2 linked regions of the Anolis sagrei genome follow. Each later gene encodes a partner of the first gene's protein in a complex. Links are inferred from orthologs where the notes say so. Each region holds a gene or a part of one and is shown on either strand. Other genes may lie near its edges. The genes, in order: MAD2L1BP and MAD2L1.

The links.
Region 2: the proteins of MAD2L1BP (region 1) and MAD2L1 are in contact, whole or in part, in a crystal structure (PDB 2QYF), measured with the Homo sapiens proteins. The link is inferred for Anolis sagrei from reciprocal best matches to the Homo sapiens genes MAD2L1BP and MAD2L1. Residues at the interface, in NP_055443.1 of Homo sapiens: Pro61, His79, Tyr82, Gln83, Gln85, Pro88, Leu89, Pro90, Gln93, His96, Ala185, Leu187, Arg188, Phe191, Arg192, Phe195, Asp198, Ala199, Phe200, Ser201, Glu202, Leu203, Gln204, Ala205; in NP_002349.1 of Homo sapiens: Tyr33, Arg45, Thr52, Leu54, Lys122, Asp126, Glu127, Arg129, Ser130, Arg133, Gln134, Thr136, Ala137, Thr138, Thr140, Phe141, Leu142, Leu144, Glu179, Val181, Arg182, Leu183, Arg184, Tyr199, Asp205.

The regions. Positions count from the first base shown.
Region 1 is NC_090021.1:49,651,731-49,667,537, reverse strand, and holds MAD2L1BP (MAD2L1-binding protein), read left to right. Parts: upstream 1-9,041; 5' UTR 9,042-9,099; coding exon 9,100-9,130; intron 9,131-9,228; coding exon 9,229-9,497; intron 9,498-10,191; coding exon 10,192-10,734; 3' UTR 10,735-12,463; downstream 12,464-15,807. Other genes in the region: GTPBP2 (GTP-binding protein 2), read right to left, coding at 2,178-2,372; epoxide hydrolase 1-like, read right to left, coding at 12,671-12,872, 14,424-14,549, 15,021-15,129. UniProt on the Homo sapiens protein: May function to silence the spindle checkpoint and allow mitosis to proceed through anaphase by binding MAD2L1 after it has become dissociated from the MAD2L1-CDC20 complex.
Region 2 is NC_090025.1:35,715,196-35,730,376, reverse strand, and holds the start of MAD2L1 (mitotic spindle assembly checkpoint protein MAD2A), read left to right. Parts: upstream 1-7,248; 5' UTR 7,249-7,429; coding exon 7,430-7,502; intron 7,503-11,402; coding exon 11,403-11,549; intron 11,550-14,612; coding exon 14,613-14,733; intron 14,734-15,181. UniProt on the Homo sapiens protein: Component of the spindle-assembly checkpoint that prevents the onset of anaphase until all chromosomes are properly aligned at the metaphase plate.

The sequences.
Region 1 (15,807 bases):
CAACCTGGTATTTTGACAGCTGTTTGACAGAAACTAATATGAAAGATGGGAAAGGAGAAAAAAGGATGTATTGTTGAACGCTTTCATGGCCGGAATCACTGGGTTGTTGTGAGTTTTCCAGGCTGTATGGCCATATTCCAGACATATTCTCTCCTGAAGTTTCGCCTGCATCTATGGCAGGCATCCTCAGAGGTTGTGAGGTTTGTTGGAAATTAGGAAATGGGTTTATATATCTGTGAAAAGTCCAGGGTGGGGAAAAGAACTCTTGTCTGTTTGAGGTAGGTGTGAATGTTATTTCTCCCACCCTGGACATTCCACAGATATATAAACTCAATTTTCCTAGTTTCCAACAGACCACACAACCTCTGAGGTTACCTGCCATAGATGTGGGTGAAACATCAGGAGAGAATGATTCTGGAACATGACCATATAGCCCAGAAAACTCACAATAACCCAGAGAGAGGACTGTTATAATTCCACACTTTTCATTCCATTCAGTTGTTTGAGCTTTGGACCAAGACTCTGGAGACAGGATTCAAATCCCCATTCAATCATGGGAACCGTGGAGAAGTCAACCCCTCTCAGCTTCGGAGGAAGGCAAAACCAGATTCCTTCTGAACAATCCTTGGCAAGAAAACCTTATGACAGTTTGCCTTAGGATCACCATAATTCGGAAAGGACTTGAAGGTAAACAACAACCAAGTATTGAACTGAAATGGCATGTTTGCTGGCAGCAGGTGGGGAGCCGGATGAGAATACCTCCAGGATTACACACATCAAGATGATGGTGAAGGCAGCAGGCTATAATGTACTATCAAACTGCATCATTAGATGAGATGTATAGTTTTGGTGTATCCTTCTGTCCCTCCTCCACAACATGGCAAGAAATCCCAACAGGCAGCATCGATATGGAGCTATTTACTGTGAGACTGGGGGCCCTTCCACACAGCCCTATATCCCAGAATATCAAGGCAAAAATCCCATATTATCTGCTTTGAACTGGAATATATGGCAATGTGGATGCAGGTAATCCAATTCGAAGGAGATACAGTGGGATTTTCTGCCTTGATATTCTGGGATATAGGGCCCTGGGTTTTCCTTACATTTGGGCAATGGATCTCAGAGATAAAACATTAGCACAGCTTGGGAATTAAGGGGGAACTTCATTAGAATCATAGAATTATAGAGTTGGAAGAGACCTCATGGGCCATCCAGTCCAACCCCCGGCCAAGAAGCAGGAAAATTTCATTCAAAGCACCCCCGACAAATGGCCATCCAGCTTCTGTTTAAAAGCTTCCAAAGAAGGAGCCTCCACCACACTCTGGGGCAGAGAGTTCCACTGCTGAACGGCTCTCACAGTCAGGAAGTTCTTCCTAATGCTGAGATAGAATCTCCTTTCTTGTAGTTTGAAGTTTCTCCTAAGTGTTTTAAGGGACTGTAACTGTCAGTCCCTGGGTGCATCTACACCTGGCAGGTATAGAGTGTGCATCCCACTTTAAATCTATGGCTGCCTAGCAGATTCTTAGGTTCTCATTACACTAGTGTAGGCCTGGGCAAACTTTGGCCCTCTAGGTGTTTTGGACTCCAACTCCCACCATTCCTAACAGCCTCCGGCCCCTTCCTTTTCCCCTTCAGCCGCTTATGCGGCTGAGGGGGAAAAGGAAAGGACCGGAGGCTGTTAGGAATGGTGGGAGTAGGAGTCCAAAACACCTAGAGGGCCAAAGTTTGCCCAGGCCTGATCTACACTGTGGAATTTAGCACACTTTGAGGCTTTAACAGACATGACTCAAGGATGTAGAATCATGGGAGTTGTAGTTTAACAAGGCCTTTAGCCTTCTCTGTCAAAGATTCCTTCCAAGGAGGTTTGCCATTGCCTTCCTCTGAGGCTGAGAGAGTGTTGACTTGCTTAAAGTCATGGCCTGGCTCAAACTTGAATCTACACTGAGAATTAAACGCAGTTTGATATCTCTTTAGACTCCAGGGCCTCAATGTTGTGCAATATTGGGAAGTGTTGCATTTTGGTGAGGCACAGAAGGCTAAAGATAGATATAAACAAAACACTCCCAGGATTCAATAGTCTGTGTGGTGCATTGGGAGGTTAAAGTGGTGTCAAACTGCGTTAGTTCCACAGTGGAGATGCAAAGTGGAGATGAACAGCGGGTGGGTTTTCTCCTCACCTCAGGCGGCAGGTAGGGCGGGTTGTTGGCCTTCCCCCCGCGGTGCCTCCCGTTCTTCTTCCTGCCCTTGGAAGAGGAGCCCCCGCTGCTGGAGCCGGCTCCGGAGCGGCCTCGCAGAGCCCCCCCGCCGCTTCCGCCTCCTCCTCCTCCTGGCCGGCAGCAGCCGCCGAAGAGCTCCGACACCCGCGAGTCCATCCCTGGCGGCGCCTCCTCCTCCTCCTCCTGCCTCCCTTCCCCGGCTGAGCTCCTGCTCCTGCCAGCGCCGCACTTGGCTTCTGAGGGCTCGCTCTCTCAGGCTCTCCTCCTGGCGTCAGAAAGAGGAGCGCGAGGCATCACGGGAAGACAGGCCTCTGCAGCCGCTCCCTCGAACTACCACTCCCAGCCTCCTCTGCGCCCTGTCACTCTTTCGCAGAGCCCACACAGACACATCGGCCAGGCACCCTCAAACAGTGGTTCTCAACCTGTGGGTCCCCAGGTGTTTTGGCCTACAACTCCCAGAAATCCCGCCGTTTATCTCCACTGTGGAACTAACGCAGTTTGACACTACTTTAAACCCCTAATGCGGCACACACTGTTGAACTGAATCCTGGGAATGTTTTGTTTATATCTATCTTCAGTCTTCTGTGCAAAAGTGCCTCACCAAAGAGCAACACCTCCCAGGATTGCACCGTAATGAGATCTACAGAGATCTACAGAGACACTCCCGGGAACACCTCAGCAAGCGAGAGTCCAAAAGTGGCAGGCTCAAACCCAGAACCTCAACCAATGGCTGATACCAAATGAGAGACTCTCCTCTGGGCACACAGAAAACTGGGCAACTTGGAAGGCGCTGAACAGACTGCTCTCTGGCACCACGAGATGCAGAGCCAACCTCAAGAAATGGGGCTACAAAGTGGAATCCTCGACATGCGAGTGTGGAGAGGAACAAACCACTGACCACCTGCTGCAATGCAACCTGAGCCCTGCCACATGCACAATGGAGGACCTTCTTGCAGCAACACCAGAAGCACTCCAAGTGGCCAGATACTGGTCAAAGGGCATTTAATCAACTACCAAACTCACACATTTTGTATTTTGTCTGTTTGTTTGCTTCGTTCTGTTAGAAATGTAATATAATTGACTGGTTGCCCTAACACAACAAATAACAAGTAAAATACTGTAATGAGGCCGTGGAGTTTAAAGAGCATCCAAATCCCTGCATATTTCCAATTTCCTATTCCTGGACTGCAACTCCAACCAATTCTCCAGATAGATAGATTAGATAGAGATAAGTAGGTAGGTAGATAGATGGATAAGGAGGACTGCTGGGAGTTGTAGTCCAAGAATAGGTAGAGAAGGAAGAAAGGGGGAAAAGAGGAAGGGAAAGAAAAGGTGGGAGGGGATGGAAGGGGATAAGGAAGGAGAGAAAGAAAGAAAAAAGGGAAGGAAGGAAAGAGAGAGGAAAGGAAGTAGAGAAAGAAAAAAGAGAAAAGGAGGGAAGGTAAACCATAGCAACGTGTGGCGGGTACAGCTAGTAATAAATAATAATAAACTTGATTTATATCCCATCACCATTTCCCCAAAGGGGACTCGGGGCGGCTAACATGAAGCCAAGCCCAAAATTACAGTACAGCAAAATAAAATACAAGAAGCAAAACTACCATCAAAATAAATACATGAAATAACAAAATAAAATAAACAGTTTCAAAATAACATGATAGAGAAATAGAATACAGTGGTCAGGCCAAATGTACTAGGAATAAAATTGATAAAACCCTGGATGAGTTATGTAGAATGTGTTTCTGAGGGAGAATGGGTTTCTAAGGGAGGAACACAAAAGGACTGTGTTTAATTCTCCAGTGTAGATTCAAATCTGAACCAGGCCATGACTTCAAGCAAGTCACACGCTCTCAGCCTCAGAGGAAGGCAATGGCAAACCTCTTCAGAATATTTGACAGAGAAGGCCAAAGGCCTTGTTAAACTACAACTCCCATGATTCCATAGCCTTGAGTCCTGGCAGTTAAAGTGTCAAGGTGTGCTAAATTCTACAGTGTAGATCAGGCATGGGCAATCTTTGGTCCTTCAGATGTTTTGGACTCCAACTCCCTTTCTTTTCCCTCTCAGCAACTTAAGCTTAAGCGGCTGAGGGGGAAAATGAAAGGGCCGGAGGCTCTTAGGAACTGTGGGAGTTGGAGTTCTAAACACCTGGAGGGTCAAAGTTTGCCCAGGCCTACTCCAGCTGTTTAAAAAAGACTGCTATAGATCGGATCATGCAAAAGAGATGCACTGAGTTTTTATTTTATTGCAATATATGTATGTATATACACATATCATATACAATATAACATTGAAAAGTCACTGTTTACAATGATGTTACCCCATCCAACTTCCCTCCTTTCCCTAAGTCACAGATGTTTATATACTGCTAGTCCTCTAACAAGTGAATTATTCTTTATTCTATTATCTAGTTTTCTTAATAATACAGATATCTTGTTTGCCAGTGGTTCTCAACCTGGGGTCCCCAGATGTTTCTGGCCTACAACTCCCAGAAATCCTAACAGCTGGTAAACTAGCTAGGATTTCTGGGAGTTGTAGGCCAAAAACATCTGGGGACTCCAGGTTGAGAACCACTAGCCATTTAACCAAAACCTTGCTTCACCTGATCTCTGATAGACCTCAGACTATGACTTTGGATGTGGATTTGCTCTTGGATTGGTTAGCTTTTAATTAAATGTTTTAATTTATTGTTTAGTCAATGCTTTAATTGTGATTTTATTGCTATTGTTTTTGTGGCATCTAATGAGTGCCGATTGTAACCCGCTCTGAGTCCCCCTTCGGGATGAGAAAGGCAGAATATAAATGTCTGAAATAAATAAAATAAATAATTCACCTGAGGGTGGTTTGAATTTGCTGTTGCTTTGGCACATACAGTTGATAAATGGTTTCCATATGGCCTCAAACAAAATCTCTTTCATTTCTCCTGATCTTACTTTCTAGGTTGGTTTCTCAGATAAGAGCTATAGCCCATACAGGCAGTTCCCAAGTTACAAACAAGTTAGGTTCTGTAGGTTTGTTCTTAAGTTACATCTGTTTTTAAGTCAGAACAGAGTCTGACTTAAGTCTAGCTACACACACACACACAGATTTCTCTCACTTCTTGTTGTCTCAACCCTGTTCTTAACTATGAGTAATTTCTAAATTGGATGTTTGCAACTCATGGACCGTCTGTATTCCATTTATTCAGTTCTGCATTGGTACGTTTTCTTATTTTTCCATACTTTTACTGTTTCCATCCATGCTGCACAAACTAGAACTTCTATGAGGCCTTTGTTCTATAGGTTCTGATTTTTGTCCTCAAATAGAGAAGTAGCAATGCATCTCTATAATGGACCTTTCCTCCTGCTGTACAGCTTCTCCAGGTTAAGTCTGCTTGCTAAAATTTAAAATATGCGTGGACATAAGAACTCAATAGTCTCTTCTGCATAATTTTGATACTCTCCTGTTGATCCCGTGACATTTGAGTGGATAGCAATGCCATTTACCAACAGTTTTCAATGTGTTCTATCTAATTTGAGCTGATTTATAAGGTAACTTGGCAACTCAAAAAGAATGAGAGTTACTTGGGGGGAAAAACAGACAAAACAAATGGAACTCAGTTGGGGAAGATTTGCCTTACAAATGTATTGAGATTTTCTGAGCTCACTGCTAAGTGGGCGGATGTTTACAAACAGAGTCACATCCTGGTACTTCCTTCAAGCACTCCCTTTGTACTTGGTTACTGTCGATGTCAACTCATTGCATCAGTTGGAAGAGATTGCTCTGTTTAGTGCCTTCATTGCATCAGGTCAAGGCAGGAGGGTGAGGCAGCATGTGCTCTGAAAAAACAATACCTTTGCTCCCTGACTTCTCCTATGAAGCTTACTGCTATACAAGTTCATCAGCTCAGGTCAAGTTCAATTATCATCAGTGGCAAACAATATGGTACTTCCAAAATAATAAAAGAGGGATACAAATGACCCTAATTTCCACAAAACTGGGACGTTGCTTTATTTGTAAAAAGTCAAAATATTCATTATAAAAAGGGAGGGCAGGGGAGTGAGTGAATCAGTATATTACACTAGGTAACACGATTTTTGTTCCTGGGTTATAAACGTCATTTCCTAATTGGCTCTATCATAAAAACATGGAAAAGGTTTCTTGAACTGCAAAACTTTGCTTTTGCGGGCAACCTGCAGCACTTTTTGCTATAGTTTTGGTTTTATTTTGATGTAATACGTTGTCCGGGCTTGGCCCCATGTAAGCCGCTCCGAGTCCCCATTGGGGAGATGGTGGCGGGATATAAATAAATATTATTATTATTATTATTATTAGTCTCAAGCCCTTGGTCCAACAGTTAGGATTTGGCCTTGTACCCATCCATTCCCCAGTTCTCTGGCATTTAAGGGCACATTTTTTCCAGCCCAGAGCTTTTTTTATAATCCTTTAATTGGCCCTGGAATTGAATGGCACCGGTCCCCTAGTAGGGCCACTGCTGAGACCAATCCTTGCACTATAGTATTCAGCCAGCCCCATTTTTCCCTCCTCCTTGGCCCAGCCCGTTCCAAATAGTCCAGGCCCCTTATTGAAATCTTTGCCCCTGGCAGCTTACCTTGCCTGAAGAGAGTGGTTTAAAATTGACTGTAATTTATATGTCGTGTTAACAGTTTGTGCCTATGTTTTTGTTTTATATTGTATGTTTTTTATTATTTTGCATATGTGGAAACCGCTCTGAGTCCCCTAGGGGAGATAGGGTGGTATACAAATAAAGGTTTTTTAAATTATATTATTATAATGTATTTTTCTACTGACATACCCAGAAGTATTTTTTTTTCTGACCGCCGGAAGAACTGGCACAGCTTTGGGGAGCGAGGCCCCTAGGGGTCGGTCTATCTATCACAGTCAGGCATGGGCCAACTTGGGCCTTCTCTCCAGGTGTTTTGGACTTCAACTCCCACAATTCCTACCATAAGCATGTGGACAATTTCAAGAGAAAGGAGGAAACCATGAAAATGAAAAAAAATCTGGCTACCAGTATCAAAAAACCTCTAAAATTACAACTGCAAAACAGCAGAGAGGAAACAATCAGGGACATCTAATCACCTCTCAACAAAAGATTGTCCCAGGCACTGCCAGGCCACCAAATGCTAATCAAGGTGGTCAGTTGAAACATTCACACCTAGCTCCAACAGACAAGAGTTCTTTGCCCCACCCTGGTCATTCCACAGATATATAAACCCACTAGCTGTTCCCTGCCACGCGTTGCTGTGGCCCAGTCTGGTGATCTGGAAAAGAAAGTAATGAGAAAGTGTTGGTTTCTAATATATGTAATTCCTTTATGCTTGTGAGTAAACAGTATTTCTTGTTGTTTCTTTGTCAGTGTTGATGTGGAGAGTGTCTGGTTTGCCCACCCTGGAACATGCAACATATCATAGTCCTTCTTTAAGGGTCCTCTCTTTCAAATCTATGATACTATATCTGTGTGTGTGTGTGTGTGTGAGAATCATATCTATCTATCTATATATATTTATGACTAGATGGCTCTTTGTCAGGAGGGCTCTGATTACATTTTCTTGCCCTGGTGAAGAGAGTTGGACTGGATGGCCTTAAGTATTTTCTGATGGTCATGGGGGTTCTGTGTGAGAAGTTTGCCCCATTTCTGTTGTTTGTGGGTTTCAGAATGTGCTTTAATTGTAGGTGAACTATAAATCCCAGTAAGTACAAATCCCAAATGTCAAGGTCTATTTCCTCCAAACACCATCTGTGTTCATATTTAGGCATATGGAATTTTTGTGTCAAGTTTGGTCCAGATCCATAATTGTTTGAGTCCACAGTGCTCTCTGGATGTAGGTGAACTACAACTCCCAAACTCAAGGTCAATGCCCACCAAACCCTACCAGTGTGTTCTGTTGGTCATGGAAGTCCTGTATGCCATGTTTGGTTGAATTCCATCATTGGTGGAGTTCAGAATGCCCTTTGATTGTAGGTGAACTATAAATCCCAGTAAGTACAAATCCCAAATGTCAAGCCCTATTTCCCTTAAACTCCATCTGTGTTCATATTTGGGCATATGGAATATTCATGCCAAGTTTGGTCCAGATCCATCATTGTTTGAGTCCACAGTGCTCTCTGGATGTGGGTGAATTATAATTCTCAAACTCAAGGTCAATGTCCACCAAACCTTTCCAGTTTTTTCTGTTGGTCATGGGAGCCCTGTGTGCTAAGTTTGGCTCAATTCCATCATTAGTGGAGTTCAGAATGCTCTTTGATTGTAGGTAAACTATAAATCCCAGCAACAACTCCCAAATGACAAAATCAATTTTTTTTGAGTGGAGGACATACATTCGACTGTTAGGTGTCTTGTGTCCAAATTTGGTGTCAATTCCCCCAGTGGTTTTTGAGTTCTGATGGTAGCATGAACTAACATTACATTTTTATTTATATAGATTTTCCTAGTTCCAACAGACCTCACTACCTCTGAGGATGCTTGCCATAAATGCAGGCGAAACGTCAGGAGAGAATGCCTCTAGAACATGGCCATATAGCTCGAAAAACCCTACAACCCAATTCCTACCAGCCTCAGGCCCTTTCCTTTTCCCCCTCAGACGCTTAAGCGGATAAAAATGGTGGGAGTTGAAGTCCTAAACAGCTGGAGAAAAGGCCCAAGTTTTGTCGAAGGCTTTCATGACCAGAATCACTGGATTGTTGTATAACAACCCAGGCCCAAGTCTGCCCATGCCTGATCTATCGCGACATCCTGGCACGCCTATGGACAGCTAGCCATTTCTGCCCTCAGCCAAGATGGCGCCGCGAGACTCCCATTTCCCGGAAGTGATGTCATCTTACCGCTCCCAGGATGCTCGCTGAGGCGGCCATTCAAATCGGATAATAACCCGAGGGGAAGAAAATGGCGGCGGAGGGAGCGACGCAGGGCACAGGTAAGGCTTCGTGGTGCGCGTTTTTGTCTCTTTGGGGCGAGGCCTCTTGGGGAGAGTGAGGCAGCCGCCCTGGCTGGTTTCCTCTTTGTCTCCCGCAGAAGGCGGGCTCGGCGGCGGAGCGGAAGGGCGCGAGGGCCCCGGCGTGGCGGTGGCTGTCTCCTCGGGGCCTGCCTCTCTCAGCGGCGGCGGCGGCGGCGCGGCCTTGGCGGTCTCCGTGGCTTTCCCCGGCTCGGTGACGCAGGAGGGCTGCTTCCGGTTCACCTGCGAGCTTCTCAAGCACGTCCTGTACCAGCGGCAGCAGCTGCCCTTGCCTTACGAGCAGCTCGCCTTCTTCTACCGGAGGCAACCGCCCAGGACCCCCGGACAGGTAAATAGGGTGAGATGGGCGGCCTCAAAGCAGCCTTCAAGCTCTTAAAATAACGCTTCTCAACCTGGGGGTCGGGACTCCTTGGAGGGGGGGGGGTCACGAGGGGGTGTCAGAGGAGTCGCCAAAGACCATCAGAAAACCTGAGAGTTCTCCGTGGGAAGTTTGGCCCAATTCTATCATTGGTGGGGTTCAGAATGCTCTGATTGTAGGTGAACTATAAATCCCAGCAACTACGACTCCCAAATGTCAAGGTCTGTTTCCCCCAAACCCCACCAGTTTTCACATTTGGACATATTGAATATTTGTTCCAAGTGAGGAGTTATATTAAGGGATTGCAGCATTACGAAGGTTGAGAAACACTGTCTTAAAAGCAGGCACGGGCCAACTTGGGCCCTCCAGGTGTTTTGGACTTCAACTCCCCACAATTCCTAACAATGGCTTGTTGTGGGAAAAAAATGGCTTGTTGTGGAAACAAGGATTGAAGATTTCAGTGAAGACACCTTTTCCCCATAACTTTTTCAAGTGTGAATTTCCCTTCCAATGAATAAATTTCTCTGACTTCCTGTTGTCTCACCCCTGTTCTTAACTCTGAGTCATTTGTAAGCCAGATGTCTATAACTTGGGAACTGCCTGTATTGCTGTTTTTTGTGCTTTAAAATATTCACAACTTTTTCCAATCTCCTTAACTTTATAGGATGAAGAAGTGGTGAGAAAAGTCCACTTAAAAGATAAAGACAGCAGCCAAAAGTGCCAGCAAGTGCTAAGTGATCTTGAGGGAGTGTTCAAGCACTTGGAAACCATGTTTACTTTGACACTGGTCCCTCGCGTTCTGATTCTTCTCGGGGGTACTTCTGTCAGCCCTAAAGAACTCTATGAGATCAACCTGCAAGGGGTGTCTGTTAAGGGTGCTGAGGACAGTCTGCAGACAGCTGCCTGCATTCGCAAGCTTTTCCATTCTCTGTTCCTAGCAGATGTGTTCAGCGAGCTGCAGACAGGCCCTACTATGGGTGTCACTGTGATGGTTCAAGGGCACCGCAATTGCGGTGTCGACTGGTTCAGACCCAAACTAAACTACAAAGTGCCAACGCGAGGGAGGAAGCTGACTGTGAATGTATCATGCAATCATCACAACAGTACAGGTCTTTCTGCCTATCAGGAGATGAACTCGGCTTGGGACGATTACATATGGTTTCAAGCTCCAGTGACAGTCAAGGGCTTTCGTTTCTTTTCTTCATAAAAAAAATAAAGGGAATTTTTTTACTATTGTCTTTTTGATCCACTATAACCAAACCTTTCCCTTTTCCTATAACCAAACTTTTCCATAACAGTTGTATTCCCACTCTGTTGTATTTTTACATTTATGGGAATAGCTTTTGGGGAACTGATTCAAAGGGTCAAAACAATGCCTTAATGAGTCACCAACTTTCCTCTACTGTGGACTTTATTTCCAACATATACTTGACATAATTGAACCACTGCATAAGTGTCTTATAATATACTCCCAGTGAACTGTGTTCATTGGTAAATAATTGTGCAATGTTAGCAAATGCTCAATAATGGTGTGAGAAGAAGGTGAATCCCATCTTACTAACTTTTTTTGTGTGTGTTGATGATGGTGGATTGATCTGTTATAAGGAATATAGCCATAGTCCCAAGCAACATAGTGTCTCTCCATGAATTGATAACAACTTCTAAAAAAGTAGTCTCCTAAGTACAACAATTGCAGTGATGATTTCTAGGTGCTTTTTCTGAGAAATAACTCCTCTGAGTATTGTTATAAAAGATGAGAGTGGAGAACTTCAGCAAATAGATAATGATGAGTAAAACTGAGATTCATTCTTTGCTTTCTGAAGGACATTTGCTCAGCTATGTTAAGAACTGCAATGTCTAGTGTGTGTGTGTATGTGTGTTAGTAAAAAAGATGGCTTGGAGTTTCCCATTTTTTCAACATCTTCATGTAGCAGCTTTAACCCTCTGACCAAGTAGTTTTGTCTGTGTGCATCAGATACTCCTACACGCTAGACGTTGTGCACAGCCCGTGCTATAGCTTTAGTTTAAGTTGATAAAGTAAAATACCTCATTTGATGCTTTGACTAAAACTAAACTAGACTTTGGAATGAAATGAATGTCATCAAATAATCAATTTTAAAACTGCTGTCCCACATAACAGCTGATCCACTTCATTCATGTTAAGAAAGTAGTATGTATGGGGCTACTTCTATGGAACTACTAAGGGAAGGTAGTATTTTGTTCCAGACAATGGTTATCTATTTATTTTATCCACTGTTAAGAGGCTGTATGGCTTTATTGTCCAGTTAAGGACAAATTCAGTTAACTATGGGAAATGTGGCTTCCCACACTGCTTTTAAAATTGGAATTTGTTTTTTGGTCAGGGGGAAAAATCAACCTACAATCTCTCTTTGTGGAAAGGAGGATGTTTTCAGGCTAAAATAGAGGCCTATGGGGCACAGAAAAGTTTATTATACTCTAGTTTACAATACGTTTTTGGGATATGAGCTATTTGAACAACACTGGAACCACTACCTTCATAGGCAAATTCCAGAGAAGAGTGTTTAATCTGGTATGTTTTAAGGACTGCCTGGCTCCTAATGACATTTTGCATTGTACTTGAAAAACCTGGGAGAGGTTAAACAAACATGCTTATTCTAAAACATGAAAGTGCAGAAGGTATTGTATCAGCCATTTGAAAACAGGTTAAGATCTCTGTCCTTGCACAGAGGAAAGAGAATAGGGAAAGCTCTGACAATTTACAGAAAGTTGCCTGCAGAGTAGAGCCCAGCCCTCTGACACTTCAAGTAGCCTTTAAAATTACAGTGTACATTCTATAATTGTGTATAAAATGGTGCTATGTAAGATATGTGATTAAATGTGCTGCTCCAATGAATTGGTTAATGACATTGTCCTTTTACAGATCTGTAATATGAAATAAATTACAGCAAGAAAGATTTACTTGTTATAAGAACCAATTTAATATGACTACTGCCCTCTTTTTTTAAAAAAAACTTAGATGCTTACAGTAGTTTCTCACAATAGAATAAATGACCGTTGAAAGCTCAAGCAGTAATGTAATCATACTATTTTACTTAACGTGCCAAAGGGTTTTTGCACTTGGATTACAGCTCTCTTTGCCATGCTTATGCCTTGCTGTTACCTCACAGACGTTCCACTTTCCGAATAAATTGCTTGAAGTCCTGAGCCAAGAGCTGTGGCTCCTCCAAGGCAGGGAAGTGACCACCCCGTGGCATGTAGGAGTAGGTAACGAGGTTTTTAAACTTCCTCCTTACCCAGGAAGGCGGAGCATGTAAAAGTTCATCAGGGAAGGCAGTAACACCAGTGGGAACATAAACTCCAGTCCTGTTATAAAAGAAACCATTATCAAGGGTCGACTTGGCCATAGCAAAACTGATGTACATTTTTCTACCGTAAGCCACATTACCATTGGGAAATTGCATTCTTTTTGTCTGGCATATCTATGACTTCTGTTTTTATTGCCCATAAGTACACAAATGTTAAACAGGCCCAACTGTATTGTATTTACCATTGAAACAATCTGTGTCCCTCTGGGAAGATAGGGCAGAATACAGATAAAGTCATTTTATTTATTTATTATTATCCTTTCAAATTAAAATGGCACCCATGTTAGCTAGAATTAGAATGTTTATACTTAGGAACACAGATGGATAGCAAGAGTTGAGGGTTAATCAAGCTTCATAGGGATAATGAGCTTGATCTGTATTAGAAAAGATGCTACCATGGAACTTACATCTTTACTGTCAAAAATCTAAATGGTTTGTCATATTTGGAAATCAGCAAGTGCTTTCTAAACTCCTACAAAGGATTTAATATAGCCAATGGGATTTTGACTTCATTTCAGAAACTTTGGACAAATATCCCAATAATAGTTGGGAAGGCATTCTGCTTATATTGTGGCAAAAAATTAGATACAGGCAGTCCCTGAGTTATAAACAACTCATAGTTTAGAACGGAGGCAAGACAACAGAATTGTGAGAAATTACCCCTCGGAAGGGAAATTCACACTGGAAAGAGCATGGGGAAAATTATTTATTTAGGGCTTTTATATCCTGTCCTATCTCAACCTCTGAAGAGGGACTCAGGACGGCTAACAAATCGGCACCCCATGGCACCCACATCAGTAAAACATAAATATATACTTTAACAGTAGTATAATAATAACAATATAAAACAGTACAAAACATAAAACAGTAAAAAAAACAAGCAGTCAGCGGTTACCGGTTTGAATCAACATCCAAGAGGCTTTCAGTCAGTTCTATATAAGTCGTCACGTCAGCCAGTCAGGCTAATCTACAAAAGCCTCCCCAGTGAAGCTTTCCCATCAATCCTTGTTTCCACAACAAGCCATTTTTTTCCAAAATCCAGTTATCACAGGGACAGAAAGTGCATTTAAACCTTCTAAAAAGGGGCAGAGATAGCAAAACATACCACCGGGGGGGGGGGGGGTGGGGTGTGACCCTTCCTTATGCTGCTCAAAGTTTAAAAATATATATTTTTGGCTGGAGTTACACTTAAAAAATTACCTGATCTGACTTACAAACAAATTCAACTTAAGAACAAACCCACATAACCTATCTTTATAATTTGGAGACTGTATTGCTGTCAGGTTAACTTGTGCTTTAGCCAGTGCTATGTACTGTATGCTGCACGACCTTTTCTGCTACACTTATGCTTATGCTATCCTATTAGCAGCTTGTCTAAGAAATCTATGCAGACTACAGAGTGAAAGCCATATTGGCCTTAGGCAGCAAAAATGACTTAGGTGAGCCCCACAAACAGTAAACATAAAAAAAACCTCATATCATGTGGTATGTAGAGTATCTTGGAGAGACAGGATTTATCTTGTAGCAGTTTTTGTTTATTTTTCCTTACCTGCCACTGGGAGTACTGCTTGGATTCTGGGAAAAATTCTCCTTGTAAAAGCGCATGGATGTCACAATGGAGCCTGTCACCCAGTAAATCATGACATTGGTCAATAAGTCATCCAGCGAGTATTTCCTGAATAAGAGAATTACAAGAAGACTTTTGCTTAGCTTTGGTACTTGCCTACAAAACATGGAACGTAAGTTCAGGGCACTGTAATTTTATATTGCTATGTTTTCACATGTTTTATGTAATTATGTTGTTGTTTAATGTTTGCATTTTCAGTTTTATTTTATTGTAATTTGTTGTTTGGGCTTGGCCTCATGTAAGCCACTCCGAGTCCCCATTGGGGAGATAGTGGTGGGGTATAAATAATAATAATTATTATTATAGTAATTATTATTATTATTATTATTATTATTATTAAAAGGTGCTAGAATGTGTTCAGCAGTGCAGCAGCATATAATTAAAGCACTGAATTAAAACTCAATTGTGTTCCTATTTGAGATGGAAGTTTGCCAAATTATTTGTCCTGCTCCTCTTTTACGTTAGTATTTGCAATGTGTCCCCAGTCTCCTAAGATATACATGTCATAAAAATCCTTACCTCTCCAAACCACCATCATCCAAGTTTGGAAATGATTTATCTGTCCATGTAGAGAACTTTTCTAGGATGTATGCAGCAAGTCCCACAGGACAGTTATTCAATCCACATCCTAGGTCAGAAAAGCAGCTCATTAGTTTTAAAAATAAAGATATGTACTGCTTCAGGCTAAAATTTGGAACAAGGAAGAATCTGGTTCGTAGGTCTGAGGAAGAGTTAGGGCTTTGATTTCAGACAATTTCACAACTCCCCTCCTGGATATCATCACTTCAGAGTCTCAGTTCTTACAAGAATCCAATGACCTGGGCAAAAGGATCATCTAAGAAAACTCACTGTAGGAATTGTTGATTTTTTCCCCCTGATGGTGGCTGTCCATCTGTGTCCACACACTCTTTTTTCCTTTAGAATCACATATTCAAGATAATAGATTGCCTAATTGAGGAGTTATATATTTTCTACTATCTTTGGAAGTGTGAGAAATAAGTCTTTATATGTTATCTTGATTCACTAAAGCACAAACTAGTAATGCAATCATTAGAACATAAATAGTGTCATTTCAATTTTATACGGCTATCTGCTGATTGAAAAACACTTGATTATTCATGTGTTTTAAGTTATTAACAGCATGGAATAGAATCAATAATTTTGAAGGAAAAACAACAGCTGCCTTAGATGAGGTCCTTGGTTTACACCCAGCATTCTGTTTCTTATGGTGTTCGATCACCAGATGCTACGACATGCACATGAAGTGATGAGAGCAAAGCTCCTCTTATTATTTTTAAGACAGTGG
Region 2 (15,181 bases), on another chromosome or scaffold:
GATGCTATAAACAATATCATACGAAAGCTAACTGGCACAACCTGGGGATCACAACCAGACACAGTGAAGACATCTGCCCTTGTGCTTTGCTACTCTGCTGCTGAGTACGTATGCCCAGCGTGGAACACATCTCACCATGCTAAAACAGAGGATGTGGCTCTCAATGAGACATGCCACATTATCACAGGAGAAATTACATTTTAGTCAATATTGCACCACCTGACATCCGCTGGGAAGTAGCAGCCAATAATGAAAGGACTAAGGCAGTGACATCTCCGGCCCATCACCACTTCAAATACCAACCAGCACGCCAACGCCTTAAATCAAGAAATAGTTTTCTAAGATCTACAGAGACACTTGCAGGAACACCTCAGCAAGCGAGAGTCCAAAGGTGGCAGGCTAAACCCTGAAACTTCAATCCATGGGTAATACTAAATGAGAGGCTCCCTCCTGGGCACACAGAAGACTGAGCGATTTGGAAGGCACTGAACAGACTGCGCTCTGGACCACGAGATGCAGAGCCAACCTTAAGAAATGGGGACACAAAGTGGAGTCCACAACATGTAAGTGTGGAGAAGAGCAAACCACAGACCACCTCTTACAATGCAGTCTGAGCCCTGCCACATGCACAATGGAGGACTTTCATATAGCAACACCAGAGGTACTCCAAGTGTCCAGCTTCTGGTCAAAGGACATTTAATAGAATGCCAAGTTTTCAAACTTTGTGGTTTTGTTGCTGTTGTTTGCTTTTAATACATTACAACGGTATCCTTGGTTTCCTCCTGACATCTATATAAATGTAATGTTTGTTTGTGGAATTAACATAACTCAAAAACCACTGGACGAACTGACACCAAATTTGGACATAACACACCTATCAGGACAAGTGACCATCACTCATAAAAACGCTGAAAAATACAGCACAAGAGACTTTAAAAGCCAACTCCCCCAAAATACATTTCAAAGGGTGCGCAAAATCATACATATACACAAACACATATATACACATATATACAAATATACGCATATATACACATCCAAAACACATATACACAGAGTGGGCCACAGCAACGTGTGGCAGGGGATGGCTAGTGATAAATAAATAAATATATAGATAAATATAGTCACAGCTCTGGAATAAAAACTATCTTTTCCGCCTATTTGTCCTTGTTTTTATCATACTACATTGTCTGCCAGATGGTAATAATTCCAAACAATATATTCTTGTGATGAGAAACTCCTCAATTCAGACAAGGTAAACAAAGAAAAAAGAATTGAAGTATTCCAGACTTGAGTCCAATCCCAGGAAATCAAGATTCTTGAGCCAAAATCTAGTAAGAACATTTATGGGACATTAAAGTCCATATGAGAAAAGAAAAGAAAAGAAAAGAAAAGAAAAGAAAAGAAAAGAAAAGAAAAGAAAAGAAAAGAAAAGATTCACTCTTGGGGGTGTGAAGATTGATATTCCATAAATCAAAGAGAAAGGTCAGCTTTCAACTAATTTATTAGCAAGAAACAAGATTGGAAGCAAATACATGAAAGTAATCCAAGACCAAGTATTTTATAGGAAAACATACTTAAGAGACCTAAGCCACTAGAAGTTAGCTTACTATTTCAAAAAAAATAACTGGAATCTAGATATGACAGAAAAAAAAACATGAATTATGTTATATTTCCAAAGGTGAACTCTAAAACAATCTTAACGTTAAATTGTCTTAGTGCAACTGACAAATATTTAAGATAGCGTTGTTGTTGGTGCTCATACGGCTGTCTAAATACAATCTGTCTAGTTCAGCTTCCTTTAAAATGTCTGGTACACAAAATATTTGTGCTCATATCATAAGTTGACATGCTGAACTCTACACTGCAATCTGCTTTTCATTTGAAAAGAGTGGCAACAGTTAATTACAAAGCACAGCTTCTGTGACTCAACCATTTTGCATTTAAAGGTGCTTGATCTTTTCCAGAGAAGGAGCATAAAATTTATTTAATTTAACCAACACATATTTGGTTAAAATACTATCAAAAGAGTGACTGGAATCCCTCTGTGTCAGCTGGAAAAGTCACTTTGAAGAAGGTGTTTATTAGGAACATTTTCCATGGTCACAACAGGTGGCTCGAAATGTCTGGGTAAAATCAGCTGCTGCTTATTAGAGAGTAGACACTCCCAACAGGGCAAAACATCAATAAATAGTAGGGATGCCAGGATTTGGAACCGATTTTACATGTTGCGTGCAATTAAATAAAGTACTAAGCTAATTTCTACATGGAACTAATTTTTGTCATATGACATGCAATCCTTACATTTCAACTACTAAGTAATCATAAATATACAGTAGAGTCTCGCTTATCCAACATAAATTCCCGGCAGAAGGTTGGATAAGCGAAAATGTTGTATAATAAGGCAGGATTAAGGAAAAGCCTATTAAACATCAAATTATGTTATGATTTTACAAATTAAGTACCAAATCATTATGTCTTACAACAAATAGACAGAAAAAGCAGTTCTATATACGGTAACGTTATGTAGTCATTACTATATTTACAAATTTAGCACCAAAACATTGCAAAGTATTGAAACATTTGTGGATCTGGATGGGAGGCAGATTGCGTTGGATAATATAGAACGTTGGATGAGCAAAGGTTGGATAAGCGAGACTCTACTGTATAGTTTAAAAGGGATGGAACAGGAAAGTATCTTGACTTCAAATATCCCTTCATAATAATTTTTGGCTGCTCATTTTATAAAAGATAATATAATAACATGTTGGTCAGCAGAAACATGGCCGACTTCCTTTGTTTCAATAGTATAGAATGGAAGACAGACTGACTTATTAATAAAATATTTGAAATATATGCATACAATCTGTTAATCTTGAACTTCAGATTAATGATGACATAAAGAAGAAACCAAAGGAAAAGTGCAAGGAAAACAAAGTTGTTCTGAAGGGGATGTAGTTTTATAATATTTTAAATTGCACTATAGGACTGTAGGTTCCATCTGTAGAGTGTAAATAGACTGAAATATAGCTTTGAAAAAGAGCTGCCACTGCAGCTTAGGGAGTAGCCTTCGTGCCTACCCTCCCTATTCTTTCACACAGCATTCTTGTAAGCAAAAGATAAGCCAGTGCCTGCCAAGCACTTCCCAGCGAGTCAGGGTCACTTGAAAGAGATGTGAACTTTCCAGTTAATTCTAGTTTCTGTTGTTTTCCACCTGTCTGCTTGCTTAGGAATAAAGAGCCAATCCGAAATGTATTAGGCAAGCTTAGACCAATCAAACAGACAATATGTTGACATCAATCAAAATGCACTTTTTGGATTTCTGTAAAACAATAAAAGATTGCGATCCCAATCTTTTGGGGCGCGGTAGTCTTTTCATGTGTAGAGCACAACTGCCGCCATTTGCACGGTCGGCAAATAAAGCTAATCTTCAGAGAGATTCAATTTGTTGTTGTGTCCTTCCATGCCACCCTTCCAAGACAGAAGGGGACTTCTGGGAATGTGCAGAGTGCATGCCCCTTCAATTCCATAAATCCTTTACACTACATTTCAGTATACAGGATGGCTGTTCTATGTAAAATAGGGGTGAATAAACATCTGCAGGGTATAAAATACCCTTTGATGCAAGGCTGAATTGGACGAAGCAAATAACATGCATTTGATAACATTGTTATTTTATTGAAATGAAAACAAATTCACTTGGGTTTTTTTTAAAATAAAAAACTTTTCTCAAGACCTTATTTGAATATTCAAAAACATAACTCATTGTCCTTGTCAAAAAGATGAAATCCTTTCACTTTTATTAAGAAAAAATAAAAGTGGTGAGGAAGAAGACAAAGTGGATGTGGATAAAACACTGATTTTTTTTTTCTACTAGGAAAAAGAGATAAAATTGTTGGCAAACAGGTCAAATAAGCAAAGCAATTTATTGTAAACAGAAATCAAATGTGTTTGTGTGTGAACAATTTATACTAACATTTATCTAGTGCCAAAAGCGACAAACACAGCTGCAGAATATTTGCCCCATGAATTGATAAAAAAGTTAATGTGATCAAAGATGTACATTATTTGCATGCATTGAACATGACAGCCAGGAACTTTTTTTTTCCTTTTGTGATGCAGAAGGATCTGGGCCATTGCAATGAGTGAGGCTGTCCTTTGACTGTCCATGCTGTTTTGTTTGTTTTTTTTCACTTTTCAGGACAACACTGAGAGAATCAAGCACTTTTAGTTAAACACTACCATCTTGTGGTAATTCTAGTGAAAAACCTAAATCTATTCTAGAAATGGCAAAACGAATTCAGTAATGCTCTGGACCTTCACATTCTTATGTTCCAAAACTTGTTCTCAACTAATCCAGTCATAATTTACAAGAGGAAGGAGTCTAAATTATGTTTACATTTTATCACCATAAATTATTACTACCTGCTCAAACTATTGGCATTTGAAAACCTGGTAAAGATGCCTCCAATGCCAAGAACTACCGACCAATCACTCTCATGTGACATTGGTATAAAATATATGAGGGTATGCTATTAAATCAACTAGGCCCTGTTATTGAACCCCAGCTTATTGCACAACAAGCAGGTTTCAGACTAGGGAAAAACTGTACAGCTCAAATTCTTAACTTGACCTAGTATATCAGGGAAGGCTATGAGAAAGATTGTATTACGGGAATAGTTTTTGTGGACCTTATGGCAGCCTATGACATGGTGTAATATAGGAAATTGCTGCATAAAGTCTACCATATCACCTGGGATTACGATTTTATAAAAACTATCCAGACCCTCCTAGAAAACCTCAGCTTCTATATGGAGTCTTAGGGCAGGAAAGGTAGATGGAGAAGGCAAAATAATGATCTACTTCAAGGCAGTGTTCTTGCACATACGCTGTTTAACATTTATACTAATGATTAGCCACAACCACAACTCACAAAGAGCTTTATATACACTGATGACCTTGGCCTAACAACACAAGCAAAGGACTTTGAAACAGTAGAAAACCAACTTACTAATGCCCTGAAAAATCTCTCAGGTGGTTGTCTTTGAAGTATTACACCTGCCAAGACCCAAGTGTGTGCTTTCCACCAACATAATGGTGAAGGCAACAGGAAACTGAAGGTTACCTGGGAAGGCCAAGAACTTGAACACTGTTCCCACCCTAAATATCTCGGCGTTACCTTGGATCAAACACTAACATTTAGGAAACACTGTGCGAACACCAAGCACAAAGTATCTGCACACAATAACATCCTGTCGAAACTTACTAATAGTGCATGGGGTGCAGACCCAAAATTAATAAGAACATCAGCCCTGGCCTTGTCTTACTCAACTGCTGAGTATGCCTGCCTTGTTTGGCACAAGTCTGCCTACATGAAGCAAGTGACTATAGCACTGAATGAGACATGTAGAATAATCACAGGATGTCCCAAATGTACACCTGTTGATAGACTCTATAAGCTATCTGGCATTACCCCCCCCCCCCCAATGTGCAATGGCTGTTGCTAATTACGAGAGAAATAAGGTTGAACACTGAAAACCATGCACTGTATGTTTATTAGTCTCCTCCCTGTAGACTTAAATCAAGGGAAAGTTTCATGAGAACCAACACTCCTCTTAATGCTCCCCAAGAAACAGCAAGAATATCCCTTTGGGCATCTAAACATTAAATCATCTGGGTGTCCCCTGGGCAACGTCCTTGCAGACAGCCAATTCTCTCACACCAGAAGCGACTTGCAGTTTCTCAGGTCGCTCCTGACACGACCAAATCTAAACCAGGAAATCCCAACCGGATGCCCCACCCCCCATGAGGGTCCTCCTCCAGGGGCAAACCAAGAATGAGCAACTTGGAAGTCCCTGAAAAGACTCAGAAGCGGAGTTGGTAGATCAAAAGACAACCTGGGAAAATGGCACTACCTATTAGCATATAGATGCGGAGTTTACTTTGTGTGACTGTGGAGCAGAACAAACAACTCCACATCTAGATGCTTGCCCACGATGTCCTGCCTCATACATAGCAGAAGAACTAGTTAAAGCTACAGACAATGCAGTCTGTTGCCAGTTTTTGGTCTAAAATTATCTAGCTGTTTGTGCTCTTTTTATTTTATCAGTTTTATACTTATTTGTTTATGCAATGCTTTTGACACAAAATAAATAAAACCTGCTCAGACTGTGGAAGAAAAATGAACACATTGTTTACTTTTCTGTCAACCAAAGTCCCACTTCATCAAATTTGTAATGGCATATATCTGATCAAACAAATGTCAGTAGATCCAGTGAAATAAATGGGATTCACAATGGGTTTTCTCTGATTGTAAATAACACAAAGGGGGGAGGAGGACTGTGAACGGTAGACCCAAATTGCACTGTTGTTTCATATTGCAGCTAGCTAATATTGATTGTGCAGATGTGGGCAAACTTGGGCCCTCCAGGTGTTTTGGACTTCAACTCCCACAATTCCTAACAGCCGTCAGGAGAAAAATTGCCTCCAGAACATGGCCATATAGCCCGGAAAAACCTACAACAACCCATGGATTCCGGCCATGAAAGCCTTCCACAATACAGCCGGTAGGCTGTTAGGAATTGTGGAAGTTGAAGTCCAAAACACCTGGAGGGCCCAAGTTTGCCCATGCCTGCTCTAATATATAGTTTCAAGTCACAATCACAACTATAAAAAGGGCCAGCATTAAGGAAAACAATGAGTCCTGAATAAGTACAAAAGTAAATAAACACCTGGTTGCATCAGCTTAGCTAATGGAAATAATTAGAATCAGGTGCATGAACATTTAGATAAATGGGGAAGTTTGTTGGGTGGCATCTCAAAAGGACATTTAATCAACTACCAAACTCACAAATTTTGTATTTTGTCTGTTTGTTTGCTTTGTTGTGTTAGAAATGCAATATAATTTGGCTGGTTGTCCTGACATGACAAATAAATAAAATCTCAAAAGGATCAAAACTTTGGTCATTCTTTCTTTATGTTTCTGTTTGTAAGAGAACTAATTTGGGATTGGCAGATTCCTTAGATATCTTAACTTTACTAATCCTGGAATTCCATATAGCTGGCTGTTAAAAGCAATATTTTAAGTCTTACATCAATTGGGTGGGAAACCGCGGGAAAACTTCATTGAGAAAGCCGCGCATGCGCACATAATAAGAGCTAAAGGCGGCTCAAATGAAATAGAACGTCTCTGTCGTCTTCCTCCGTTTGCGCCTGCGCAGTGAGTCGCCGGCGTCAAGTCTTGCGTCTTGGGACCACGTGACGATGCAGGGGCGGGGCTTTGGATTTTGAAAAGCGTGGCGGGAAGGCCTCTAAAGCTACTGTCTCGTGTTTTGGAAGGGGCGAATTTCCAAGGCTTTGGGGGAGGCCTTCTTCCGGTGGTTTCTCGTTTGGATCCTGACCCTGCTGGCCCTTTTCCTTCCTGCCCGCCATGGCGAAGCAGCAGAGCCGGGAGCAAGGCATCACCCTGCGGGGCAGCGCGGAAATCGTGGCCGAGTTCTTTTGTGAGTCGATTACAAGACTGTGGGGGCGGTTTGACACTATAGTAATTGCTATGGCCGGGTGCTATTGAATTATGGGAGGTGTAGCTTTACAAGGCCTATAGTTCTTTCTGCCAAAGAGTGGTGGTGCCTCAACAAACTACATATCCCACAATTCTGTAGCATTGAGCCATAGCCGTTAAAGTGGATTCGAACTGTATTAATTCAAGTGTAGATCAGGGATGGGCAAACTTGGGCCCTCCAGGTGTTTTGGACTTCAACTCCCACAATTCCTAACAGCCTCAGGCCCTTTCCTTTTCAGGGTGAAAAGGAAAGGGCCTGAGGCTGTTAGAAATTGTGGGAGTTGAAGTCCAAAACACCTGGAGGGCCCAAGTTTGCCCATGCCTGGTGTAGATTGTAAATAGGCCAGGCTGAAGCTGAACTGAGGCCTATTCAGCTGAAACTTTAAAGCAGCCAATGTGTTTCCTGATTCTGTTTGTCTTTCTTCCCTTTCTCTGTCTCCTTTGATATTAAGAAGTATGATAGATAAGGAAAACATGGGAAGAACTCTCTCCAGGGAAGTCTCCTTTGCAATATAAATAGAAATGCCTCCTTAAGAATGTCTAATATTGTGCTATGCTAATAATATATATTGTATATACATATAATATTGATGATAACATTATAATGTAATACAATATTATACTAATAATACTATGATATAATAATTGTGTATTATATATTACAAGTAATATTACTAATATTGCAGTATAGTGGTATAGTACAATATAGTAATATATAATACTAATATTGTGCTATGCTAATATAACATATTGTATGTACATGTAACATTGATCATAATATTGTAATACAATATAATACTAATAATATTGCAGTATAGTGGTATGGTACAATATAGTAATATATAATACTAACATTGTGCTATGCTAATATAATATATTGTATGTACATGTAACATTGATCATAATATTGTAATATAATATAATACTAATAATATTGCAGTATAGTGGTATAGTACAATATAGTAATATATATAATACTAACATTGTGCTATGCTAATATAATGTATGTATGTATAAAATTGATTATAATATTGTTATACAATATAATGCAATATAATAATTATATATTACATGTAATATTACTAATAATATTGCACTGTAGTGGTATAGTACAATATAGTAATATATAATACTAATATTGTGCTATGCTAATAATATAATATACTGTATGTACATGTAACATTGATTATAATATTGTTATACAATATAATGCAATATAATAATTGTATATTGTATATTACATGTAATATTACTAATAATAGTGGTATAGTACAATATAGTAATATATAATACTAATATTGTGCTGTGCTAATAATATAATATACTGTATGTAGATATAACATTGATCATAATATTGTAATACAATATAACACTAATAATACAATATAATATAATAATTATATATCACATGTATTGTTACTAATAATATTGCAGTATAGTGGCATAGTACAATATAGTAATATATAATATTAATATTGTGCCATGCTAATAATATAATCTATTGTATGTACATATAATATTGATCATGATATTGTAATACAATGTAATTCTAATAATAATGCAACATAATTGTATATTATATATTACATGTAATTACTAATAATATTGCAGTTTAGTGGTATATAATACTAATATTGTGCTCAGCTAATATAATATATTATATGTACATATAACATTGATCATAATACTGTAATACAATATAATACTACTAATAATGCAATATTATAATATAATCATATATAATACTGATATTGTGCCATGCTAATAATATAATCTATTGTATGTACATATAATATTGGTCATAATATTGTGATACAATATAATAATACTAATAATAATACAATATAATATAATGATTATATATTGTATGTAATATTACTAATAATATTGCAGTATAGTAGTATAGTACAATATAGTAATATATAATACTTATGTTGTGCTATTCTAATAATATAATATATTGTATGTACATATAACTTGTAAGCTGTTCTGAGTCCCCTTTGGGGTGAGAAGGGCAGGATATAAATGTCGTAAATAAATAAATGTCTTTTAGTATTTGCACATTTATAATAATGATAATATTAAAAAAAACTTTGCTTCAAGATCTACCTCCTTCCCGAAGGGACTCAGGGTGGTTTACAGACACAAAGCAAAAGGCAAACATTCAATGCCCCAAATGAATACAAACACATCAAAATAATACAAGATAAGGCACAGAAACAGCAGCAAACTAAGAGCAAAGAAGTAAGTTGCTCTGAGTCCCCTTCGGGGTGAGAAAGGCTGAAATTAACATAAAGCAATCCAATAAGACACAGTAAACTAAAACATGAGTAAGACATTTCAGTATATACCCTAAAAGCAATTATGACTTCAACTCCCACAATTCCTAACAGCCTTGAAGTCCAAAATACCTGGAGGGCTGAAGTTTGCCTATGCCTGTGTTAGACCTTCTCAACCTAAAAACAAGTCTAGTTGAAATCTGGGGTTTCTGTTACATAGATTATTATTATGTTTATTTATACCCTGCTTTATCTCCCCAAGGAACTCAAAACAGCTTGACATAAAAGCATCAGCATAGCCATTTGAAATATACAAATATACGAACATTAAAGCAGGATTAAATATAAATAGTATTAAAGCATTCCCAATTAAAACAAATCAAAGTTAGATCTCTGTTGGCTTCCACTGTAAATTCATATTAACCCTGCCGTGTCTTTACATTGCTGTCTTCTCCCAGAGTGAGTGTTAGATTTTAATCTTTTGAGTAATAAGAGTTGGCAAAGGCAGTACAGCTTTCTGGGGTTCAGGGCATATTCTTAGAGAAAATACATCTCGTATAGACTAGTTACATCTGTTGGTTTCATCTCGTAATGCACTGTATGTGGGGCTGCTTTTCAAGACTTTTTGGAAGCTTCAACTAGTCTAATGTGTGGTAGCCATATTGCTAACAGGAGTGGCGTACAGAGAGCACACAATCCTCCTGTTATGCCAGCTCCATTGGCTGCCAGCTTGCTACCGAGCACAATTCAAAGCGCTGGCTTTGGTCTATAAAGCCCTTAACGGCCTTGGCCCAGTTTACCTGTCTGAACGCATCTCCCTCTATGAACCATTGCAGAGGCTAAGATCTTCTGGTGAGGCCCTGCTCTCAGTCCCACCACCTTCGCAGGCACGGCTGGTGGAGACAAGAAAGAGGGTCTTCTCAGTGGTGGCCCCTCGGCTGTGGAATTAGATCGGCTTCCCACCTGTCATTTTGCAAACAAATTAAAACTCGGCTTTAGGAGCATAATTACTTGTGCAATATAACTGGAATTGGTTTTGGATTGATGAATATGACTATCTTCATGAATATATGCACAATAGTTGTCTAATGTGTGCATATGTTGCTTTAATGTTGTTTTTAATCGTCGTTTAATTGTTTTTAACTGTTATTCGGGCATGGAATAGTGCCCCTTATGTAAGCCGCCCTGAGTCCCCTTCAGGGTGAGAAGAGTGGGATATAAATATATGCAAGTTAATAAATAAATATTTTAAGTCAAATCTGTGAATAATCAAATGAACAAAAATCTAAACCACAAACATGGAGAGATGAATATATACAACACAGCTAGCCCTCCATAGCCATGGGTTCAATCATCCTAAAAATATTCCCTCCCTCCAAAAAAATAAACAATTCCTAAAAGCAAACCTTGATTTTGCCATGTTATATATGAGATATCTTTTACTACACTATTGTGTATGCCAATATTGCCTTGCCATTTGGAAATACTTAATGGGAAAGAAAAAGAGCATGATGAAGTATTGATTCTTGAATTGTAATAACATGCACTTTTTTTTCTTTCAGCATATGGCATCAATAGTATTTTATACCAACGTGGGATCTATCCTGCTGAAACCTTCACACATGTTCAGAAATATGGGCTCACTATGCTTGTAACAGCAGACTCTGAACTTAAAAACTACTTGAATAACGTCGTGGGGCAATTAAAAGGTACTAGCAGTTGTAATATTGTTATTAAAGGGTGATATACAGTTTTCTGGGTGCCATAAGGTTGCCAAATGCTCCTTACAGGCTTAAGAGAGGTAAAATAAAAGTGGGGGAACAAAAGAACATGTTTATTCGGGCATGAATCCTGGTATCAAATTCCTCTTTTTTCTTTTGCGCCCATGACCTCTATCACTTAGTCACTGCTGCTTCTTTGTCTGCACTTGAATAACTATGCCAGTGGCCAGTTACAAATGGACTTGTAACTTTTTCAGACATGGATTCATGTTTGGTTTGAACTGTCTATGTAGCTTGGTTTAGCCACAACATTTCATTTCATTCTCATTCTAGTTGCAATTCAAATGCCAAAAATACATTGCATCAATATGTTGAATTGCAAATGTTGTTGTTATGGGATGGTGGTGTTAGGTATGTGGGGTTTGTCTCCAAAAGGTACCAAATCCAAACAAAAAAAAATGAAAAATTAGTTTATCCACAATGTTGGATATGAGTATAATATTAAAACTATCAAAATGTGTCAAATCACTCCTATTTGGGTTTGGAAAACTGCATTTTATAGCTCAAAATGGTTGTTATTATCCCTGTAAAATTTGTCCAGATGGATTTGGTACCTTTTGGAAACAAGCTGTATGTGAAGAACCATCCTATGAACCATTTTGGAGTCTAAGATTGCAGGCAAGATTGGCGGGGACGAGAGACAGGGCCTTCTCAATGGTGGCCCCCTGGCTGTGGAATTCCCTCTCCAGGGACATCAGATCAGCCCCTTCCCTCCTGAGCTTCTGTAAGAAAGAAGAAACCTGGCTTTGTGACCAAACTTTTGGAGAACTTGAGAAATAGACAGATATGGAATTGATGTGCACTGACTACCTGAAATGGCCGGATTACATTTAAGGATCATGTGATTGACTCCTAATGTTTTATATGTTTTTAAACTGTTTTAATGTATTTTATAACTATTTAAATATCTGTAATTGTACATATCCTATGGCTTCGTGTGGTTGCCTTCATGTAAGCTGCCTTGAGTCCTCTCCTGGGTAGAGAAAAGCGGGATAGAAATGCCGTAAATAAATAAGAAAGGCTACCCGATACTTTGAGAACTGGATTCAGCCCCAGAAATAAATGGATAAGATTTCCTAGTGTGTGGTTTGAAACCTGCCTACAGTGTGAATATGTAGGGAAAGTTGGTATATGTTATAGACATGCAACCCATTTCTTACTATGTATTTTTGGCAAAACTAAATTTGGTTGCTTTTATCTCCCTTTATCAACCATCTCAGAGATTAAGATCACCTGAGGAGGCCCTGCTCGGTCCTGCCTGCGTTGCAAGTGCAATTCTTGGGGATGAGAGATAGGGCCTTCTCAGTGGTGGCCCTTTTGTTGTGGAACTCCTCAGTGATATAAGATCAGCCCCCTCCCTCCTGAACATGGCTCAGGGACCAAGCCTTTGGCCAATAATGCATTGCAATAAGTAAAAATGGAAATTGTGCAATAATGACTGAAATGGCTTTTTAAGTATGATTCTGGATTGCATGGTTTTAAAAATGTGTTTTAATGTTTATATGACTTTTTAAATTTATGTTTTTAATATACTGGTACTTGTTTACTTGCATACTTGGTATGACACCGAATTGTTGCCTTTTGGAAGGCTACTTTGTGTCCCCTTTGGGGTGAGAAGAGCAGGATATAAATACAATGAATAAATGAATTATTTCTTGTGTAATAGAATACAAAAGTGAAGGCTTTCTTGGGAGTTACAATTTAGCTTTAGACAAGCAATTCCTCACTGCCAAATTGTTTCATAATTTGACAAGAGAGGGAAATACCTGTGATATTTTTTCAGTAGAAAGAAAATGGTGTCTCTGTCTTCCTATTAGTGTACTAGAGAATGTTGAGGTTTTTTGAAGAATCCCAGTGAATGTAAGGAAATATTATTCTCCATTGCCAACAGTGTTAGAAGACAGGAAGATTTAAATACTCACCCTTCCCTTGTGGGAAGCAGCACCAATGAGCTGCTCTTTCCACTTCTAAAAGGTAAACACAACTCTGTTTTCAGAGTTCTCTGCACATATGAGAATAAGTAGAAAACATACTCAGAAATATAGTTAATGAACCAATCCAAAATTGTAGCTACCTGGTGCAAGGGTCAGAGTATTCCTGGTAATTTAATGCAAATGTTAATTTTATTATTTATTTATTTATTTCTAACATTTTTGCCCCACCCTTCTCAACCCCTAGGGGGACTCAGGGCGGCTTCCAATTGGCAACAATTCGATGCCGCATAATAAAATACAAACAGCAATTATAACAGTTAAAAGCATAAACATTAAGACATAAAGATTAAAACAGTATACTTACAGTCCATTGGGCTATTAACACAATGTGGTAGCAAAATACACATCAAGGCTGCTGCTGAGAACCCCAGATCACTCTGAGAGAACAGAAGCTGTCTATTTGCTTACAATTTAAACTATGTAAGCAAAGGGAATCTTTTAATTTCATCTTTATTTACTGTATGTCTTTTTTGGTAAAGAAAATTATACTTAAAGGCATAATGTACATTATGTAAATGGAAAATAGCATGTAAGACAGTTTAGAAAGTTAATTACAATTTATTTTAATAGACTTCTAAAATTAGTTCTCTAGAGTGTGGTGGAGGCTCCTTCTTTGGAAGCTTTTAAGCAGAGGCTGGATGGCCATTTGTCAGGGGTGATTTGAATGCAATATTCCTGCTTCTTGGCAGGGGGTTGGACTGGATGGCCCATGAGGTCTCTTCCAACTCTTTGATTCTATGATTCTATGATTCTATGAATTGTGTGCCTTCAAGTCACCTGTTGACTTATGGTGATACGTATCATGAATTTCTTAGGGTTTACTTTAGTGAGAAATACTCAAGAGGTGGTTTACCATTGTCTCCTTGTGTGAAATAAACCTTACAGCACCTGCAGTCCCCCACTAGTCTTCCACCCATGTACTAACCAGCCCTCTCTCTGCTTGGCTTCTGAAATCGGATGGAATTCGGAACTAAAAGCTAATTTCCTTCTTTTTCAGAATGGCTCTATGAGTGCCTGGTTCAGCGGCTAGTAGTGGTGATTTCTAGTAAGGAAACCAGTGAAGTTCTTGAAAGGTGGCAGTTTGATATTGAATGTGACAAAAGCTCAAAGGATGAAAAGTAAGTATCATCACACTTTGTTGCAGGCAACATAAAATGTTGGCACTTGTCTGACGGTTTATGACTTCTAGGCACATTGCCACTATTATGTATTTGCTCCAGAAGTTATAGTTTATCGAACCTGTGAAGTCAGTGAACAATTTATATATCGCATTGTTGAAGCTTTCATGGCCGGAATCACTGTGTTGCTGTGAGTTTTCTGGGCTGTCTGGCCATGTTCCAGAAGCATTCTCTCCCATTGTTTCTCTGAAGATGCCTGCCATAGATGTGGGTAAAATGTTAGGAGCCTGGAAAACTAACAGAAACCCAATTTATATAACAATACACATGCTATGTGCACATCTGTCCAACCTTCAAATATGTTTCTGGAAAGACAAGTGTATTTAGCAACATGTGCTGTCATAATATAGTGTTTCAGCCATTTATTGTGTCCAAATCTTCTATTTTG